Xenopus tropicalis: one gene and its partner. The protein of the gene in region 2 purifies or fractionates together with the protein of the main gene of each other region. This does not show direct contact. Links are inferred from orthologs where the notes say so. Each region holds a gene or a part of one and is shown on either strand. Other genes may lie near its edges.

What was found.
Region 1: the proteins of rps6kb1 (region 2) and eif3b purify together in Homo sapiens (affinity purification with western blotting; 3 studies listed by BioGRID and IntAct, with this or other methods). This does not show direct contact. The link is inferred for Xenopus tropicalis from reciprocal best matches to the Homo sapiens genes RPS6KB1 and EIF3B.

The regions. Positions count from the first base shown.
Region 1 is NC_030685.2:31,105,530-31,110,506, reverse strand, and holds the start of eif3b (eukaryotic translation initiation factor 3 subunit B), read right to left. Parts: upstream 2,971-4,977; 5' UTR 2,847-2,970; coding exon 2,756-2,846; intron 1-2,755.
Region 2 is NC_030678.2:91,531,779-91,536,134, reverse strand, and holds part of rps6kb1 (ribosomal protein S6 kinase beta-1), read right to left. Parts: intron 3,931-4,356; coding exon 3,840-3,930; intron 3,427-3,839; coding exon 3,336-3,426; intron 1,173-3,335; coding exon 1,065-1,172; intron 1-1,064. UniProt on the Homo sapiens protein: Serine/threonine-protein kinase that acts downstream of mTOR signaling in response to growth factors and nutrients to promote cell proliferation, cell growth and cell cycle progression.

The sequences.
Region 1 (4,977 bases), on a different chromosome or scaffold from region 2:
TACCAGATGTTCCTTAACTGTGGGGGCAACACCACGGGGTTGGGGCAGCCGAAAAGCCAGTTACAGTGAGACCCAGGGAATGCCTACTTGCTCTCCTAGACACTCTGTAAGCCCAATGCATTAACTTAATTTCACAGGATATGAAAAAGGACAGGAGCTGCTAAACTAGTTGCTTCAAAAGGAATGAACAAATCTTATACAGTGCCCGATTAAACAATTTAAAAAGTTAATTTGGCTTTTCTGAGCATTTTTCAGACATAAAGTAACCTTTTTAAACTTGATAAAGCAAGTCATACTGACACATTATATAATTATTAGAGCAGACTATCAAGGCTGGGATTGGATTACTCTTTATAAGTATATTAGAAGGCATTATGGCATTCTTTCCCATAAAAACGTTCAATACCGGGTAGGTGGTTCTTCATGGTAAGGGCAGCGAAGTTGTGGAATGCCCTGAGTGTAAGGCCATTGTCAAACCAGGCGTATGGCGTATATATTTTTGGCAAGCGTTTTTCAACTTGCCGAAAATATATACGCCATACCTGGTCTGACATTAGCCTAAGGTTTGGGCACCTAATTACAGCATGCAGTCTTTGTCCATAAGAGGTAACTAAGCACACCTACTCTAGCAACCAGGTAACTCCCAGCTATAAATCAAGTGATACACTGCTCAGAAACAGACGACACACCCTTACAAAATTACATATTGGACTAACATACATTATTATTGCTCTTCATTCATGAAGCAGAAAAGCATTGGGACATTGTACAACAAGGAGATAAACTTGCCTAACTGACAACATTGACATACATGCTGTTACAGAAAGATAAGAACTACTGTTCACTTTCTTCCTCCCTTCTTAAAGGAACAGTAACACCAAAAAATGAAAGAGCTTTAAAGTAATAAAATATAATGCACTGTTGCCCTGCAATAGTAAAACTGGTGTGTTTGTTACAGTAACACTACTATAATTGATTTAATAAGCTGCTGTGTAGCCAGGGGGGCAGCCATTCAAGCTGGAAAAAAGGAGAAAAGGCACAGGTTACATAGCAGATAACAAATAAGTTCTGTAGAATACAATGGTGTTTTATCTGTTATCTGCTAAGTGCCTGTGCCTTTTCTCCTTTGAATGGCTGCCTCCATGGCTACATAGCAGCTTATTTATATAAATTATAGTAGACTTTCTGAAGTAAACACACAACTTTTACCAGTGCAGGGCAGCAGCACATTATATTTTAGTTACTTTTATACACTTTAATTTTTTGGTGTTACTGTTCCTTTAATTAAGAGGGGTATCTAGTACCAACTTTAGTTATAATGCACCAGTGTATGCTGCAATGCTGTACAGAAAAGAGAAAAAGTGATGCCAATATGACCTGAGCACGTTTTTTGACATGTCAACCCCAAAAAACGTTTTGCCTAATAAAAGAAAACAATTCTAAGCAAACTTTGCAATTTACATTAATTACAAATGTGTAATTGTTTTAAAGTTGTTTATAGATATTACTGCTATTAAAAGCAGCGTTTGTCATCCCCTCCAAAATAGGCTTTTGTGCATTATGAAGGCAATTCTAAAGAATGCTCAATTAAATATTTTATTTACATTTTAAAATTGTACATAATTGCTATTAAAGCAGTTTTCTCCATCACTGGCTTTGATGTAGCTGCTACTCGTAGCTCTGTGCGTCTTCACCCAAAGACACTGACTTTGAGGATTACATTTGGTGGCTGTTAGAACTTGGTTTGCTTATCTTTATTTTAAGATCCTGATTTTCTATATCCTCACGGTCATTGAGACTTCCTAACTGTTGACTGTTTGTTAAGGTGGCCATACACGGGCTGGTTGTAGCTGCAGATATCGGTCCTTTGGACTGATTCGGCAGCTTATCGGGCCGTGTAGGGGCAGAAACGACAGGCCTGCCCAACCAATATCTGGCCTGAAATTGCCCAGATATCGATCGGGCAGGTTAAAAGATTTAGTCAGATCAGGGACGATCCCCGAACTGGCTGTGCCATTGCTGCCGTTAGAATTTAATCAATCAAATTAGCCTACATTTTCCCGATATCCCCCACCCATAGGTGGGGGATATCGGGAGAAGATCCACTTGCTTGGCGAGCGGATCTTAACGTGTATGGGCACCTTTAGGATAAATACCTCATATCAACAACAAAAAAATCTAAATACCAAGCCTGAAAAAAACAGAGGGCTTGTTTTTGCTACGAGTTAAAATAAAAATGCTGCTCGGCAGCCAGTGGGGCCCCATCTGCTCAAGCTTTGTTTATTTCAAAATTGCTTGATAACTGGGGTGTTGTGTTAGGGCACAAAAATAACCATGAAAGGGTGTGACAGTGCAGCATAGCTGGCTGCTATCAAACTACAACTCCCCACACCAATCCCAGGTACAAAGGACATATTGTGCGATGCGGCAGCTGTTAGCCGTTCTCAGGATGCACATCAGGGATGTCCGCCCAACCTGCAGGCTTCCAGCTGTAACTGAAGGCTGAAAGGTTTTTAGCACCAAGCAGGGAAATTACCAGCTGGGAGTACAGCAACAATAACATCTATAATGAATCCAATTCCATCCCTCTGATAAGAGGCCACATTCTTTCTGCACTGCCAGGGGCCCCCATCTTTTCACACACAGGCCTTATGGGTACTGCATAAGCAGAAGCACTGCCCTAAAAAGAACGCAACATGCAGGCCTAAGTACCCAATATTGTCCAGAGCCAACATTCTAGAAAGCCCTCACTCACCCTCTTCACTGATATCGTCCTCGAATCCCTCCGGATCGCTAAAGGACATCCCTTCTTCCTCCTCCTCCTCGGTGGACTCTTCCTCCTCCATGTCTCTCTCGGGTCGTTCGCTCTCCAGCATTCCTCGGCACTTTCCTGTTTGTCTCTGTTCTACCTACGTTGGATTCTTGCGTCTCTCCGTGGTTGGAATTCGTTTCTCCCCGAGAATAAAGAGAACGCAAGGCTTGGCGCTACTAACAGGCCATGTGCGCTGTACCGGGCACCGGCGGAAAAGGAGCTAACCAAGGCAGGAGACAGGGGTGGCGAGATCACTCAATTCAACTTGCGTGATGTCAAACCCAACGCGCGATATATTAACCACAAAGGAATTATCTCTGTATTTTGTGTTCTTGCTGTTAAAAGAAATATGAGGCTTAAATGATTTAAGCCAAAGTGAGCGCCTCCCCTTTTTCAATTACAAATGGTTTAGTCCAACATGGAGGAAGTGACTGCGCTCAATGTAGCTAAATGGCTAGTACTGGCTGGGTACGACTAACTACAACTTCCGGAATGCTAATGCAGGGGCCAAGCTAGTTGTATCAATGCACAGCTTTAGTACTTTTTTTTTAACTTTGGGCGGTAACTAGGATTTGATTCAAGTGCATTTGTTCACGTTTAACTTGGCATACAATTGCTGTAATATGCCAGCGTTTTATACTTTACAAATATACAGAGGATGGTTTGCAGTTATATTATCTTTTCAGTTAAAGACCTGCATGGGTTGTAATGTAAATTAATTTTTTTAGTAAAGGTTTGTGGTGGAAAACAGCAGCAGACAATCTGCCCTTGTATACCAACTATAGGATTCTTTAAATAAAATAACATTACAAACGGTGCCTGGAGATGGATATTTTGTCTGCTGGTATTTTTGATGTCATGTACTTGGACTTTGAAAAAGCGTATGATACAGTACCTCACAGAAGGTTAATGATAACATTGAGGAATATTGGCCTAGAACGCTAAATTGTGCAAAACTATAAGTTCCGTGTAGGATGCAGCCACTTTGCAGAGCGATTTGACAAAACTGGAAAACTAAATAGCTAACTGGAAAATGAGGTTCAATGTGGGCAAGTGCAAAGTTATGCATTTTGGTAAAAATAATATAAACACAAGCAATCTACTAAATGGTAGTTTGTTGGGGGTATCCTTAATGGAGAAGGATCTGGGTTTTTTTTATAGATAATAAGTTGTGTAATGCCAGGCAGTGTCATTCTGTGGCTACTAAAGCAAATAAAGTGCTGCCTTGTATAAAAAATGGCATTGACTCAAGTGATGAAAACATAATTTTGCCCCTTTATAGGTCTCTGGTAAGGCCTCACCTTGAGTATGCAGTGCAGTTTTGGGCTCCAGTCCTTAAGAAGGATATTAATGAGCTGGAGAGAGTGCAGAGACGTGCAACTAAATTGGTAAAGGGGATGGAAGGTTTAAGATATGAGGTTAAGACTATAGAGGTTGGGGTTGTTTTCTCTGGAAAATAGGTGCTTGCGAGGGGACATGATTACTCTGTATATGTACATTAGAGGGGATTATAGGCAGATAAGGGGTGTTATTTTTTCCATAAAAACTATCAATGCACCAGAGGCCACCCCTTAAAGTTAGAGGAACGGAGCTTCCATTTGAAGCAGCGTAGGTGGTTTTTCACGGTGAGGGCAGTGAGGTTGGGGAATGCCCTTCCTACTGATCTTGTAATGGCAGATTCTGTAAATGCCTTTAAGAGGGGCCTGGATGAGTATTTGAACAAGCATAATATCCAAGGCTATTGTGATACTATCTACAGTTAGTATTAATGTTTGTATATGTAGTTATGTATGTGTTGGTATAGATTGGTTAGTATAGGTTGTGTGTGCTGGGTTTACTTGGAAGGGTTGAACTTGATAAATTCTAATCTGGTCTTTTTTGAACCCTGTGTAACTATGTAATGGCAGTGGTGTTTGGAAATCCCTGTGTGGTATTAGCCTTTGGGTTTTTTTCAGTTTAGAAAAAGTTGATTTCTGGACAAACATCCCATCACTACAATTTAATAATGCAACTTAGATAAGGAGACATATTGTGTAAAAACATGAATGTGCCAGTGCATTATACACTTTTAGATACAGTATATAAGGAATATGCTTAATAAAGATGTGTTTTGGGCTGTTTTATGAAAAATATCTCCAAAAACCCTGCTAGTTCTACTTATCTGC
Region 2 (4,356 bases):
TGTATTCTACGGGTTTGTGTACATTATGTGATTTTATGACAACTGCAGCAAATATGGAGTTAATACAGAACCATCCTCATTGATTTCTATAGGGGTTATATCGGAAACCCCATAGCAAAGCACCACCCAAGACAGTACAATCTTGAGGTGTTTTTATTAGAGGCCCTTATAGGGGATCATGATATACACTTTTTGGCAGTAGGTGCCCATCCTTCAGAATCTACATAAGTATTATTTTACAAATCCTTGAGCTTTATTTTCAGTAGGGCCCTTTTAACCTCTTGTATCAGTTATCAGTTCTTTATTTTATGCAAGTCTGTGTGTTCACAGTATACACCCATTTATTGTATAACACTGTGGCATTTTTTGGTGCTGTATAAATACATGTTAACTTAAATAAAAGATGATGATAATAATCTATGCTATACATTATTACTTATTATAGAAACATTTAGGTATATAAGGTGGGGGAACCATAAGCAAAAGCTGCTTGGATGATACTACTGATAATGGCTTTAACTGTCATTAACATAGCATAAATTATAATTACTCTACTTCAAAAATTCTAAGTTTTAAGGGTTTCCATTAGTAATTAGAAAGATTCTGGTGGCTAATGGCTTTTCCTTCCTCCTAACCCGGTGCACAGAGTGAAAGGGGATTGGCACCCCTTCAAATTGGACTGCAAAATCAAGCAAAGCCAACACACAGATACAATTCAACCAGTGATTTATTGTGTCAAGCAGAATACATGTTTCAGGGCCTTGCCCCTTCATCGGCTTTACATCACAAATCCCTTTCATAGGAATATTGTTTCCTCTACTGGATGTGCATGCCCATAAAAGTCTGCACTCTGGCTAAAGGGAAGAATTTTCCTGATAGGTGCACTTTAAACAGCCACCTAAATAGTGAAATTAACCAATTAAAGTTATTATTAAATTAATTTTTGTTACAGATCAGCAACAACATTTATAATAATTATATTAAGTTTCCTCCTATGTGAAGAAAAGCACTAGTGGGGCAACAAAAAAATGCTTTTGATTTACACATCTTAAAAGGATAGCTACCTTTTTAAGCAGATCCCTGGCTTCTTGAGTGAGGTAGGGGGGCAGGTTTAATTTACATTTAAGAATTTTATCAATTGTTTTCTTTCTGTTTTCACCAGTAAATGGCGGCTAGAACACAAAACAAAACTGCATTACAGTTAGCAACAATACTTACGGTAAAGCATAGTAGTAAAGCAGAAACACTGAGCAAACAAACTAGAAATGTTACAGCTAATTTCCTGTTAAAGTATACACTTTATGGTGATTAGAAATAATTTAGCATAAAAACGTTGAAAAATAGGTCTTATTTATATGAAACAGAGAAGTGCTGTTCTGAATACTTTTAACTATAATAACACAAAAAATCCCTACTCTGTGCTCAGTGAAATTGTATTCTAGAAGTTTTAATGGGGTGGCACATCTTCAGGTTAACTCTCAGTATGTTATAGAATGGCCTATTTAGCAAATATTCAATTGGTCTTCATTTTGTATCTTTTATAGTTTTTTAATTATATGCTTCCCTCTGCAACTCTTTCAAACTTTAAAAAAGGGGCCACTGACCCTGGAAGCTACTAAGCTATTGTAGCTCTGAGAGGCTACAATTTTATTGTTATTGCTACTTTTTTTTTTGCTTATCTTTCTATGCAGGCCCTCCTCTATTCATATTCCATAAACTACTACTACTCTCTACATCATACTAAAAGATAATTTAAAGGTAAACCAACCCCTTTAATGTCTCCCTATAACACAAAAACAAAAAATGTTTACCCTTCTGTTTCCTTGTTAGGAATTTATAATAGTTAAATAGCTATAAAAGCTTAAAGACAGATAGCCTAAAAGACATTGGCAGGTTAGAGAAAGCTAAAACTGTTACCTGAAATCAGTAGCATTAACAGAGAAGCATCAATATACTCATAACAATTTAAAAAAGGAACTAAGTTAAAAAAGCAATATATTATCACCTCTTAATTAGCCAATAAAGGCAATAAATACCTTCAACACCAGTTTTGTGATGTTTCGTTTTAAAAGGGTTATCCCTGCAATTATTTCTATAAGACAACATCATAGGAAATGTAAAAAAGCGAGGCTTTTACAATTTCTATATTAAAGGAACAGTAACACCAAAAAACAAAAGTGCATCACTGTAATTAAAATGTAATGTACTGTTGGCCTGCACTGGTAAAAGGTGTGTTTTTGCTTCAGAAACACCACTATAGTTTATATCAGCACTGTCCAACTGACGGCCCAGAGGTTGAAACCTTGTGGCTCACAAAGCTTCAGGTAATAAAAGCAGTTTATTTAAAACATATCAGTCAGAACCAAACTTGAAGCATCTGATCCACATGGTAGCCTCTTTTCATGCAGCTGCTCCTCAGCCCACCCGAACAATGTTGCAAACTTTGATCTCCCTTCCCAGCTGTTACATACTGACTCTGCTCTCCTGCTTCTTACCTCAATTCATCACCCTGCTGCTGACTTCATGATGAGAAAACTTGATTCGATTCGTATAATCCACTTATTTAAAAGTTTTAAATCAAAAGTACGGTTAGATAGGACACAATTTGTTAAAAGTTGGTGGGCCCTTGATCTTTGGAGTGGATTGTACAACACAGCAAAACAGCCAGTAACCACAGCCTTATGGCAAATAAACTAGACAGTGCATGCCCTGTGTTTTTTCACTGTTTTGTCTTTATAGTTGTGCTATCTGCATTCAAGGCAAAAATACTTTTACACTAGTAAGCAGTGAGTTTATACTTTGAGGGAGAGGACTTAACAGAAAAGCATGCATTTTCAACTGTGATAACATGGGTGTGACTTAAAATGGGGTGCGGTCAAAGCTGGATACCATCACTGGCCCTCCACCACTTAGGCCAGAAAAATCTTACCAAAGAAGCTGGACAGCACTAGTTTATATAAACAAAGCTGCTGCATGGCCATGGGAGTAGCTATACATAGGGCTAAATGGCTACATAGCAGATAATAGATAAACTCTGCCAAACAACATTTTATACATCAAAGCTTATCTGCTATGTCACCTGTGTCTTTAATTTTTGCAACTTAAATGGCTGCTCCATGGCTGCATAGCAGCTTATTTATATGAGCTATAGTCTTTCTGACGCATACATACAATTTAGTGAAAGGCAGCAGTACATTATATTGCAATTTACATGATAATGTTTTAATGTAAACCCCTTCATTTTTTGTTGTTACTGTTCCTTTAATAGGCCTCTGTTCCAGGAAAAGCATTTTGGTCACTGGAGGCAAATCATGCATAAACAACAGTGCACCTACTGCTCCAGTCAGCATGTCATACATCAAGGCTCCCAAGCTCCACCAGTCTACAGCACGGTTATGACCGCTTCTCATTAAGATTTCAGGTGCCCTAGGAAAATTAAAGAATGTAGCACTTATTTTTGCAAAGTTTAGCCATAGCCATATTTATGTTTATAAAAAATATGCTTGATAAATTTCCTAAGGTAACAAAATGTGAAATGCAACATGTTATACAATAAATAATGGTGAATAAAATGTTTGACGTGCTGGTCCTTCTTCATGCATGTATATACTGTACATACACTATACATAACATTTTTACCAGGACATAAACACAGGTTATGGAATAAGAAATAGAAAGCAAATTGAAGTTAGTTAAAAGATGAAAAGTCAGAATACCATAAGTTTGTGAATACCCATTACGATTTCACCTGTATGGTGAAAGGGATACACACATTTAAGTCAGCCCTGTGAATTTGTCCTAAGGAAAAAAAAAAACTATTAAAAAACATGAAATCTTACATGTATTCTATTGTTCCACAGAAGGTGTGTGTGACAGTGCCATCATGAATAGATTCTTTACAAAGGCCAAAATCAGTAAGTTTCACATGCCCTATAAAATAATATAGAACTTGTTAATATTGTTTAGGATGTATATACATACATATATAAATGCAATTCCTAAACTACAGTTAAAAAAAAATATACATTTTTGCAATACTAAAACCTGACATGCAGATCAAAATGTAAAGCCACAAATGCCATAAGATTCTGGAGATGTATAAACATAGCAATATCTATAAAACACCCATTATTACCGTAATAAGTTACAGTAAAGCATTTTATTATTACATATTAGCACACGAAAAAAAAAAATTATATAACCATAAAACACATTCAGAAGTACAGCTCATTGCTAGTTATATTCAGTTGAATATCTGCATAAAATTTAAGGTAGCTACTAAATTTGACTGTGGCTTACAAGAAGAACAACTTAACAGCTAGGAAAGCCCAAAATAAAGTCCAATCATCTTGAATA